Linked DNA regions of Nothobranchius furzeri. The protein of the gene in region 1 purifies or fractionates together with the protein of each later gene. This does not show direct contact. Links are inferred from orthologs where the notes say so. Each region holds a gene or a part of one and is shown in the gene's direction. Other genes may lie near its edges.

Region 1 (3,965 bases):
AATGTTTGTTAGATAATCGTCAATGCATTTATTAAAAATGTATATTTAATCTTTTATTGACCAGGTGAAGTCTATTGCGATCAAAGAGACTGCAAGAAGGCAGTATCTCTTATCATGTGTTTACATCCAGTATTTAGTTATTTTTAACTTTCTAAGTATTTCTGCAATTGGTTTTCTTGATATTTACTCTTAATTTTTTTTCTTTCCTATTTGCTCAATATAATGAATGTTATTGATTCAGTGACACTATAAGCTCCCTACTGAGGGACAATAAATTGATATTCTATTCTATTCTATTCTATTCTATTCTATTCTATTCTATTCTATTCTATTCTATTCTAAATAAGGTAAAAGTTAGAAATAGCTCAAATTCAGCGTGATCCATTAAAAACATTTGCACACAAAGCCGTCTGTAAGTGATTTTTGCTCTTGGTCTGCTCTCTTTTCACGTGTCTGAGCAGAACCTCCCTGAACCATCTGCAGGTGGTTCAGAACGCCTGTGCTCGGCTTCTGACCAACTCCTCCAAATATACCCACATCATCCCGCTTCTCCTTCAGCTTCACTGGCTGCCAGTCAACTTCAGGGTTCATTTGAAGATCCTGGTTCTGGTCTATAGGGCCTTACATGGACAAGCACCATCTTACATTGGTGATCTTCTCTGTCCCTACACCCCCAGCAGGTCCCTGAGGTCCAGTGATCAAAGCCTAATGGTTGTGCAGTGCACCAGGCTAAAGACCAAAGGTGACAGATCATTTGCTGCTGTGGCCCCCAGACTCTGGAACTCTCTCCCCCTGAGGCTGAGATCAGTGGACTCAGTGGTCTCCTTTAAAAACAGCTGAAGACTCACTTGTTCAAGCTGGCTTTTGTATGACCTTCTTCACCACTCTCTCTTTATTCTGCTCTCCCCACCTATTCCACCTTCCTCAGGATCCACTGATTTCCCTCTTTCCTATTCATTCTCTCTCTTTCTTAACATTTTTTAATCACAATTGTCTATTTTTGCTCATTTTAAATATATGTTTAACCATTTTCTAAATTCTTTTTTATTTTTGTGAAGCGCCTCGTGATTTTAATCTTGAGAGGCGCTATAGAAATGACATTTTCTCCTTCTTCTTAGGAGCTGCGCCTCCTCCTGCGCTCCCTTGCGCAGTAACAACTCGCGTGAACAGACACAGATTCCCAGAATTCCGTTTGCGCGTGTGGAACGGAAGCATTCATTAGCAAGCAGCGGCGGAGTGAGACAGATAACATGGCAGACAAGAAACAGACCGTAGATTTGGGATTACTAGAGGAGGATGACGAGTTTGAAGAATTCCCAGCTGAAGGTAAACCAGCCACTTGTTATTTAGCGATGTAGTTTTGTTTTAGCGGATTGTCGCTTCTGAGCCTAGCTACGATGACTCAGCTAGCGTTAGCCTTAGCTTCGGTTAGCTGGGAAAACAGCAAGGAACTGGTAGCTAGCTCAGCAAAACGGATTATTCAGCTTAGTAGATCTTTTTGTCTTGTAATGCGGAAACGTGCTTGTATTATATCTGTGTAGTTGTACCGTTTTGATGTTTCACCACCTGTGTTCATTAGCACGCATTAGCTAACAGTGTTACGGAGGAAAACGAGAACAGGTGAAACATCAGCTCATGTGGAGGGTTTTTAAGAGTGAATCTATAGGTTACAGCTATATTTACTGACATGCATGCGTTGTTATTCCAGATTGGACGGGGTTGGATGAAGATGAAGACGCTCATGTTTGGGAGGACAACTGGGACGATGACAATGTGGAGGATGATTTCTCTAATCAGCTACGGTAACCCTCAGATTCATGCAGGATTGAACAGACTCTGTGTAAATACTTTAGAGTGTACTTTTATCTAGGTGAGCAAGTCAACCCGAAACCGTTAAACTGGCTGTTTTATCATCATCTCACGTGGCTGGTGAACAGTGGTGTTTATGACTGTTTGGTTCTTGCTTCCACGTGAGCTCTTGATTTCCTGTTTTTTTTATTTTATAAATGATACCTGAAATGTTCTTGTTCAGATTGTTGTAGAAAACTAAGTGTTTAGATAGTTTTGTTGTGTACAGAGTGTTTTATGAGAAAACATTAAATGGCAACATAATATGTGCCGTTTTATTCTGTTGAGCCATTGCTGTCCACCTGCTAGTTAAAATAAAAATATATTCCACACCAAACTTACGAGCACTCTGCCACATTTCCCCCTCGCTCCAACGAATTATCCAGCATAAACTCTCTAAACTTCAGTATCAGCACCAGATGTTTAGAAAACTAAATCGGGACAATATTGTTGTGCAGTTCTCAAGTTTTCTGTTGATGTGGATAAAAATCTGCAGGGCCTGAAGTACTTTGTTCTGTTGAAACGTTTTAGCTCAGAAGTTTCTTCATAGTTCATGTTGTGTAAGCAAAATGCTTTTAAACAACATGGAAAAATTAGGGATGGGTACCGAATTCGGTACTTTTTAAGGTACCGACCGAATTCCATAGTACCGGCCGAGCACCGATTCACTTCATTTGAAAGGGTGCCTCGTTTCGATACCCGTCCTTCACAACGAGTACTTGCCTAGACAGCTGCGCATGCGCAAGAGCGTTATGTCATCGGTCCCTGCGAGCGAGTTGTAAACAGAGCAGCATGGTAGAAAGAACGAACGCTAAAGCTTGGGTCCACTTCACTAAATGTGATGGGTAACTGGGTGATGATGAAAACAGCGACAACGATCTAAGTGAGACATCCTCATCTTAATCTGCTCCGGTAGGTAAATAAAATGTAAGATAACGTTAGCTTGATTTGTTAGCTTCCGTTTCACTAATGGTGCGTTCGCTTTCTCCTCGGAACTCCGAAATCCCGACTAGAAGAACATGAACGCGCTCTAAAGTTTGGCTTCGCTTTACTAAATGCGACGGGTGATTGGGTGAAGATGAACCAGTGACAACGATCTAAGTGTGAGGCATCATCGTTTAAATCTGCTCCAGTAGTTAAACTGTTTAAGATAACGTTAGCTTGATATGTTAGCTTCCTATGCCACCATTGTTATCATCTAATGGTGCGTTCGCTTTCTCCTCGGAAATTCTAACTTCCCAGTAGGAAAAATCAAATGAAAAAGGACGGTAAAAGGAATGAAGATACACAGTAAATTTAGTTCACAGTAAAGATGTTTGCTTCAGTTTAATTATCAGCTTATAAAACTACAAGGACGATGTTAAAATACAAACTGTTATATGTTATTTATCGTGATATTTATCAAATATGGTTATGAATTGAGAAAAATATATATTTAATTATAAAAGAGAATCAAAATATTAAACACTCAAAAGTATCTAAAATTGGTACCGTTAAGTACCGGTATCGATTCCTAGGTAGTGGTAATTAGCACCGAATCGATTCAAATGTCAAAGGTACCCATCCCTAGTGACATTACTATGGGCTTAGTGTTTGGATTGATTAAAGCGCGTTTCTCCTCAGGGATGGGACTGATGATGCGTTTTAGGCCGACACACAGAATCGATACCAGCTGATAGATGCGTGGCAGCTCTGTTTATGTTTGAGTACACTCAGGACAGCAGAATGCTGTTGTATTTAGGTCAGTTACAGTCGCCGTACTATTAAGTTGTTTCTTAAAGATATCATTATTGCGTAAGGGCACAGCGGCCATATGTGTGTATAATCATTAAATCCATGGCTGCATGCGTTATCTAATATTTATGTATTATTATTTTTTTCACTTCCATCACTTAATGGTTCTTACAATCAATAGCCGAGGGTACTTGTGCCCCGGCCGCCCACCTGTAATCATCTCTGCTGACTTGATCTTTTATTTTCCTTCTCCTCCCTGCAGAGCGGAGCTGGAAAAGCACGGATACAAGATGGAGACGTCGTAGTGGCTCACGGAGCCTTCCGCTGGATATGGACTCTTATTGCTGGGTCGTTCACCGCCCCGCTTTTCAAATGTTAATTAG
Region 2 (3,500 bases), on another chromosome or scaffold:
GCCACCCTCAGTTAGGCTGTCCCCTTCTCTGCCAGTCTTTAAGAATCACCTAAAAACACACCTCCTCCCCTTGGCGTTTCCAGAACATGTTTGATTTTGGCCCTCTTTTATGTTGAATCCATTCCACAGTTTTCATTGGGACACTCAATCCATCCACTCAATCCAATTGTGTTTCACACATTTGTATTTTACCGGAATGTTTCATCTATCTTGTAATTTCCATTTTGTATTTTGTAATTTGTATTTTGTAATTTGAATTTCTTTTATTGTTGATTTATTCAGTATAATTACTTACAACTGTACCATGTTCAGCGCTTTGGGCTTCCTGACAGGGTTGCGGAAGGCGCTTTATAAATAAAGCTTTGATTGATTGATTGATTGAGTAATTCACTCTTTTAATCAATTAACCGATTTATTATATACTATACTTTACTAATGGGGTGCCATAGTAGAGAACATGTTAAGAATGTAATTCCTACATTCACAGAGTGTTAGTTTAATTTTTCACTTTTAAAGTGAGTAGTTACCAGAAATGTGTCTTTTAACGAGCTCCAACAGAAAAAGCTAATAGTGACAAGGTTTGGAAAGAAAAGGTACTAAGTGTGTGTGTGTGTGTGTGTGTGTGTGTGTGTGTGTGTGTGTGTGTGTGTGTGTGTGTGTGTGTGTGTGTTTGCTTGCTTGCTTGCTTGCTTGCTTGCGTGTGCGTGCGTGTGCGTGCGTGTGTTTCATGGCCTCTGCAGTGACAGGCTCATCGTATGACACCATGGTGAACGAGATGATGCTAATGGGCTATGAGAGAGAGCAGGTGGTGGCAGCAATGAGAGCGAGCTTTAACAACCCAGACAGAGCCATGGAGTACCTGCTCTCGGTAAGAACAGCTCCGATAAAGTCTCCTTAAAAGGTCACACAGCTGTGTGACCTTTGGGAAAGATGGAGCTAATTGTTCCTTCTCATAATCACAGACACCTTCACCTAAACGCACCTTGTTAAACACTTTGACTTAATCTTGGTATGCATACTTTATGGTAGATTTAAAGCGGCAACAACATCTTCGAGCTACTTGTTTATTCTGCGTGACATTTAAAACCAGCATGAGTCGTGACTCCTCCCACAGGGTGTTCCGGGCAGAGATCAGGGCCCTGCAACAGGACCCGACGCTGCTGCTGGTTCACCTCCAGCAAGTGGAGCTCCAGCCAGCAGAGCTCCAGCTGCACCTGCTGGCAGCATTAGTGGCCCTGCCAGCACTGGCTCTTCACCAAGTGCTGCAGGAGGTAAACAGGCTTTCTGTTGCCTAAAACACACAGTAGCCTTCATTAATAAACGTTTATCTGCATAATAATCTCTCTTTCACTCGCCGCTTGACACTTTGACTCACACTAACAGGTAACCCCTTGAGCTTCCTCAGAAATCAGCCTCAGTTCCACGTCATGCGACAACTGATTCAGCAGAACGCCGCCTTGCTTCCAGCTCTGCTGCAGGAGATCGGCAGGGAAAACCCAGAGCTGCTGCAGGTAAAGGACCGACAGATTTCGTCCTGCCTGAACGATATAAAATCATTTAAATACACTTGGAGTTTATTTACTAAATCACTTTTACCACCTGTTACCTGTCTGACGCTCTTTTTTTTTATTTTTATTTTTAGAAAACAGATATTTTCCTTCTTTTAAAGGGAATACTTCTGAAAACGTAGCTTCAGCCGAGGTTCAGAGTTGATCCAGCTGAAACTAAACAGTCTCTAAATCGTCTGAGCTGCGATGCTGAAATCACACACCTGCTGACACTTCCTGTCCCACGATGAAAGCAGATGTTTAAAATCTGTGTTTGCAAATACACACAGAGCACATATTTGCCATGGAGCACACAAAACCACACCGTGTGGTTTAAGATGTCATATCCCCGAAGACTAGTGCAACACTGGCCACATATTCATGATTCGCCTTATTGCTTTACAGTATAAACGTGTGCTGTGTCATTGTTGTAGGACGAATGCAACGAGTGCTCAGATAGATCCTGAGATGATAGAACCTGCAAAATACGGGTGTGATGAAGAAAATGTGCAATTAAAGGCCGGAGATTTAACCACGCTTACAAAGGCTGATCAACTCTCTCTCTCTCTCTCTCTCTCTCTCTCTCTCTCTCTCTCTCTCACTCACTCACTCACTCACTCACTCACTCACTCACACACACACACACACACACACACACACACACACACACACACACACACACACACACACAGAGTTGTAGATCAGGGGCAACACGGTTGCCCAGGGACACTAGATTTAAACTGACAGCCTCTGCTGATGCTAGCCTTCTCTTCCACCTGAGCCGCAGCCTCATCCCTTTCAGAGACCGTTGGAGAGCAGCAACGACACAAACACATGAATTAAAATTAGTTGAGCTCCTGAGCAGCTGAACTGAAATGTTTTGCTGTTGCTCATCCGTTGCGAGCTCGTTGGTCCAGGTTTGATCAGACCTTTAGAGCAACTGGACACGTTGTTGCCGGGTGGACTCCAGAGTTCCAAGAGCAGCACAAAGTTATCAGTACGCAACTTAAAAAAACAATGCAACAATGGCAGACGTGGTCATCGTGTTGAGCATTCTGATTAGCCTGTGTCTTTTTGTCAGACCTTGGGCCTCATTTATCAAACGTTCGTAGAAATGTTCCTGTATTCAATCCTACGAATGGAATTTAGAATGTTGGTACGAACAGCCCAAATCTGGTTTATGAAACATGTAGTGGCCTCTCGTACGCATGTTCCTCCGCAGTCAGCTGTTGATTAATCCCACTTGTGCGTACTCAGGTGCTCGTGCCTGTTGACAGCCATTTGCATCGAGAAACGCCCTCAATGAACCATATTTGGTCACGCTACGTCCTCAGCACATGAGGGGATTCCTTGGTTTTTTTTCCCAGAAAAGATCGAGATCGAAACGCTGGCTGCCGAAGCACAAAAGAACCAAACAAGTTACAGAGGTTACGCGGTCGGGACAGAGGAGAGGTTCCTGTCAGAAATAAATTTACAAAATGGATTTAATCAGTCGTAGAGTAACAGGTTCTCGTTTACATTTAAGGGGTCGTTCTGTTTGGATTTAGTTTTATTTGGAAATGTTGTCTGAGAGCGCAGCCTCTGAGCTGTCATTCAGTCTGGTTACCTTGGCAACGTGGCGTGTTTGATCGGGGAGCAGAGGAGGTTCTGGGGGATTCTCATAGTTGTAAAATAAAATATGAACTGTGATCGGCTTTGTGAGGTTTGTCTGTAGCGCCACAGAGGGTCCCAAATCCGAGCATTTGAGATCAGAGCACTCACGGAGAACACGTTCCCTCCAGGGAGCACGCTCTGTTAAATCCTCCAGTGACACAGATCAGCCATGATGATGTCAGATTCCCGTTGGTCACAGGTGTCTTTTATTGATTTTAGTACCAATTATGCAAAAAAGCTGTTTTTCCACTGACAAAATTACATCCTGGATAAATGAAATTTGTGGATGAGAACCATCTG
Region 3 (3,500 bases), on another chromosome or scaffold:
TGCATTAAAAGTTTCCCTAGCATTGTTTCACCAAGGTGGGTCCACCTTCACACCAATCGCCAAATGCCGACAGATTTTACTCGCGTTCTTTGATACCATACTATACCGTACTATAACTCCACAAAGGTTTGTGCCATCAGAAAATTTCAATATCCACATAGTGTTATTATGTAAATCCTTTTTGTTGCAGGAAACGAGCAAGTAAGATTAGAATAAGAATACCTTTATTTGGCCCTCAGTGGGGATATTGCAGACTCACTGTCTCACACTCAAGAACAGCGCAGAGTGAGGGACAGACAATTGCGACAGAGACAGACGACCACATTAATAAATAATATTGGCCACAGTAGTGCCACGAAAAGGAAAGCAAACTCGTAAAAATAACCAAATGTGCCACTATTCTGAAATTACAAACTCGATCAGAAATTGACAGATTGTTCATTCCTAAAATTTGTCTTCCATGAAGTATTTGGGAGAAACATTTAGTAAAAAATTGAGTGTATCTTGACAAGTGGAAAAGTTGTTTATAATCTTATTTAAAATCGGTTTATGTTTTACTGCAGTTGGTCTGGAGCCTCTGCAGCTATCCGTGTCCGAGGAGAGACATCTGGCCATCCTCACCGAGCTGCCTTTTGTTGTTCCTTTTGAGGAGAGGGTGAAGGTATCAGAACATGTTTCCTGTTCTACGTGTCTGAACTCTGAGGATCATTACTGACTGTCGCTGGGTTCACGTCCGCCCTCTAGATCTTCCAGAGGTTAATCTACGTCGACAAATATGACGTGCAAGGAGACGGGCCGTTCCCCGATGGCATCAATGTCACCATCCGACGCAACTACATCTACGAAGACGCCTACGATAAACTCTCTCCAGAAAACGGTACCAGCGGCGTCTTCGACTTTAGCAGCATCTCCTTACTTTGTGTTCTGTTTTGTTTGTGAAATCGGCCTACATTACATCCTGTTTGCGCTCACATGGTTCCAGTGAATGTTTCTGAATGTCTTATTATGTTCTATAAAGCCTCAGTAATGAAGATCCAGTTTCCAGTTTGCATTAAAGATGAAGAACGCCGCTCTCCTGGAACAGACTATTGGATTTCAGTAAAGCATAATTGTGATTCTGATTATTGTAATGGATCACATAAAAGCAGAATCAATTATTTTAAGTCACCTCTTTTGTGTTTGAATTTGAAAGGCTACTTCAGCGAGGGGGTGGGCAATCTGATTAAAAAGAGTAGTAGGAGACCTGGACTGAAGACATGATCTATATCATCTATGTGTCCATAAGTTATAGCCGCCTTGATTTATCTTTGTACCTTTATTATTCTGAAAGATGACCTGAAATTGATTCGAATGTTTGGCAAGTTAAGAAAGGGCTTCAATGAAAAGTGTGTTTTTTAGGGATTGTTTTGTTTTGCTTTAATATTAATGAATTTGTTTCTTGTTCCATCGGATATTTATTCTTTGTGTCCTTAAACCAGAGCCGGATCTTAAGAAAAAGATCAGAGTCCACCTTCTAAACGCCCACGGTCTGGACGAGGCAGGCATCGATGGTGGAGGCATCTTCCGCGAGTTCCTTAACGAGCTCCTCAAGTCGGGCTTCAATCCCAACCAGGGATTCTTCAAGACGACCAACGAGGGCTTGCTGTACCCCAACCCTGCTGCAGAGATGCTGGTGGGGGACTCTTTCACGAGACACTACTATTTCCTGGGCAGGATCCTTGGAAAGGTGAGCCTTTCAAAGTCAAATTTAATAAGATGTAAAGGCCTAGCCTTCCTTCCATGTCGGAGTTGAGAGCCAGACGCCTTTTAGAGTTTTTACAATACCAGTACATCAACATTACCTGGTTTTTGATCAATAATATTTTAAGACTAACGTGTTTTTTTTATAAGTAAACTGATCAAAAATGGCAAACTTTCTGTGCGACTGGTAAACTACAATTTATTTTTTATTTATTTTGTTTCCCTAACTAAAATGTACGGGAAACTACAATTTAACATCTTTGTACAATGAGTTGAAAACACAGAATTTAAATAATAAATAAAAAAAACAATAAGTTAGTATTTACCTTTTAGTGCAAAACAAACACAAACTGCATGAAGATCAAGTTTAAACTGCTATCGCTTCTTTGGTTAAAAAAAATGTCTGCTCTCTAAAATCCTGAAATATAAAACGTTTATGTCCCAAGGAATTAAATAAATAAACATACAGTAGAAATGAAAAATGAAACAAGTTAAAACTATGTACACTAAACTTTATTCTAGCAATTTTTCTTCAGAGAAAAGGAGCCTGATGTCACCACCGGTTAGAGATGGACCAGGCAGATATTTACCTTTTTTTTTTTTTTATTGGCATCGGTCGACAATTGTCCTCAGTAAAGGCAGGCACATCCTCGGGCAGCCTGGTGCCTGGTACATTTAATTTAAATGTATTTTTACATTCACTAGTAACATCTGCATAATAAGTACCCTAAATGAACTTTAAGATTTAACAGTTAGTTGAATTCAGAGTCAAAAACCGCATCAGCTTTGGAAATTTTGTGCATCAACTGATGTTATTAGTACCATTTTAGCATGTAAATAAGGTGGAAAATGTCTGGAAATTGGCAGCACATATCGGCCGTCGGCTGACTACATGTCGGTATCGACAATAGAAAAAAACAATATCGGTCGACCGCTACCTCCAATGTGCAGCAGAGGGAGAAGCTTGTGGACTCGGGTCTGATTTATTTTATTTGCAGTGGAGGACGGTGCATGCTTTGGCTATAAAATTTCTTGTATTTTCATATTTAGCGACACAAATCTTATCACAGATTTTTCATTTACTTTCACAAAAAGCAGCCAAACTTTTGATGTTTTCAATGGTTTCTTAGTTTGAGAATCTGAAGAAACGTTGTAAATGACACACAGCACTGTCCACCTGACGCATAACGTCGTTTAATGTCCACAAAGCGTAGTAAACAGTAATTAGTTGCCGCTAAAGTGGATGGGTGCTTTTCCGTCGTCTGCTAAGTGTCGCGTTTTGGAAGCGTCCCAGAAGTGTACGGAACTAGGTAGGCCTTACGAGGTAAGCTTCCAAAGCATCAAGCTCACCAGTTCAGATTGGGCCAGACAGGATGTCAAACACAAAAGCAGTGTAAAACATCCAGAAACTTTCAAAATAAAAGTCATGTGGAGTTTTCCAGTTGCTTAACTTGTAAGAAGTAGGTCATTATTTGTGACACCTCTATAGCTGAAGTAAACAGAACCAAATGGTTAAAGAGGTACTATGTTTCTGTACCCAGCCCTAACACACACACACACACACACACACACACACACACACACACACACACACACACACACACACACACACACACACACACACACACACAGTGCCTTTTGTTTCCATGATGGGTAATAATAGTAAAGTGTTCTTATATGAACACCGGCTGCATAAAAGCGTGTATTTATTTACTACAATGCTTAAAGAAACTTCTGTCCATTCTTTAAAAAGTAAAACG

The links. The genes of interacting proteins can lie anywhere in the genome.
Region 2: the proteins of sem1 (region 1) and rad23b purify together in Homo sapiens (co-immunoprecipitation; 3 studies listed by BioGRID and IntAct, with this or other methods). This does not show direct contact. The link is inferred for Nothobranchius furzeri from reciprocal best matches to the Homo sapiens genes SEM1 and RAD23B.
Region 3: the proteins of sem1 (region 1) and ube3c purify together in Homo sapiens (affinity purification with western blotting; 3 studies listed by BioGRID and IntAct, with this or other methods). This does not show direct contact. The link is inferred for Nothobranchius furzeri from reciprocal best matches to the Homo sapiens genes SEM1 and UBE3C.

Annotation. Positions count from the first base shown.
Region 1 is NC_091751.1:26,676,023-26,679,987, forward strand, and holds the start of sem1 (26S proteasome complex subunit SEM1), read left to right. Parts: upstream 1-1,165; 5' UTR 1,166-1,250; coding exon 1,251-1,326; intron 1,327-1,708; coding exon 1,709-1,802; intron 1,803-3,844; coding exon 3,845-3,887; 3' UTR 3,888-3,965. UniProt on the Homo sapiens protein: Component of the 26S proteasome, a multiprotein complex involved in the ATP-dependent degradation of ubiquitinated proteins.
Region 2 is NC_091746.1:57,625,072-57,628,571, forward strand, and holds part of rad23b (UV excision repair protein RAD23 homolog B), read left to right. Parts: intron 1-740; coding exon 741-868; intron 869-1,114; coding exon 1,115-1,271; intron 1,272-1,383; coding exon 1,384-1,511; intron 1,512-3,500. UniProt on the Homo sapiens protein: Multiubiquitin chain receptor involved in modulation of proteasomal degradation. Binds to polyubiquitin chains.
Region 3 is NC_091747.1:47,535,394-47,538,893, reverse strand, and holds part of ube3c (ubiquitin-protein ligase E3C), read left to right. Parts: intron 1-563; coding exon 564-661; intron 662-744; coding exon 745-877; intron 878-1,478; coding exon 1,479-1,726; intron 1,727-3,500. UniProt on the Homo sapiens protein: E3 ubiquitin-protein ligase that specifically catalyzes 'Lys-29'- and 'Lys-48'-linked polyubiquitin chains.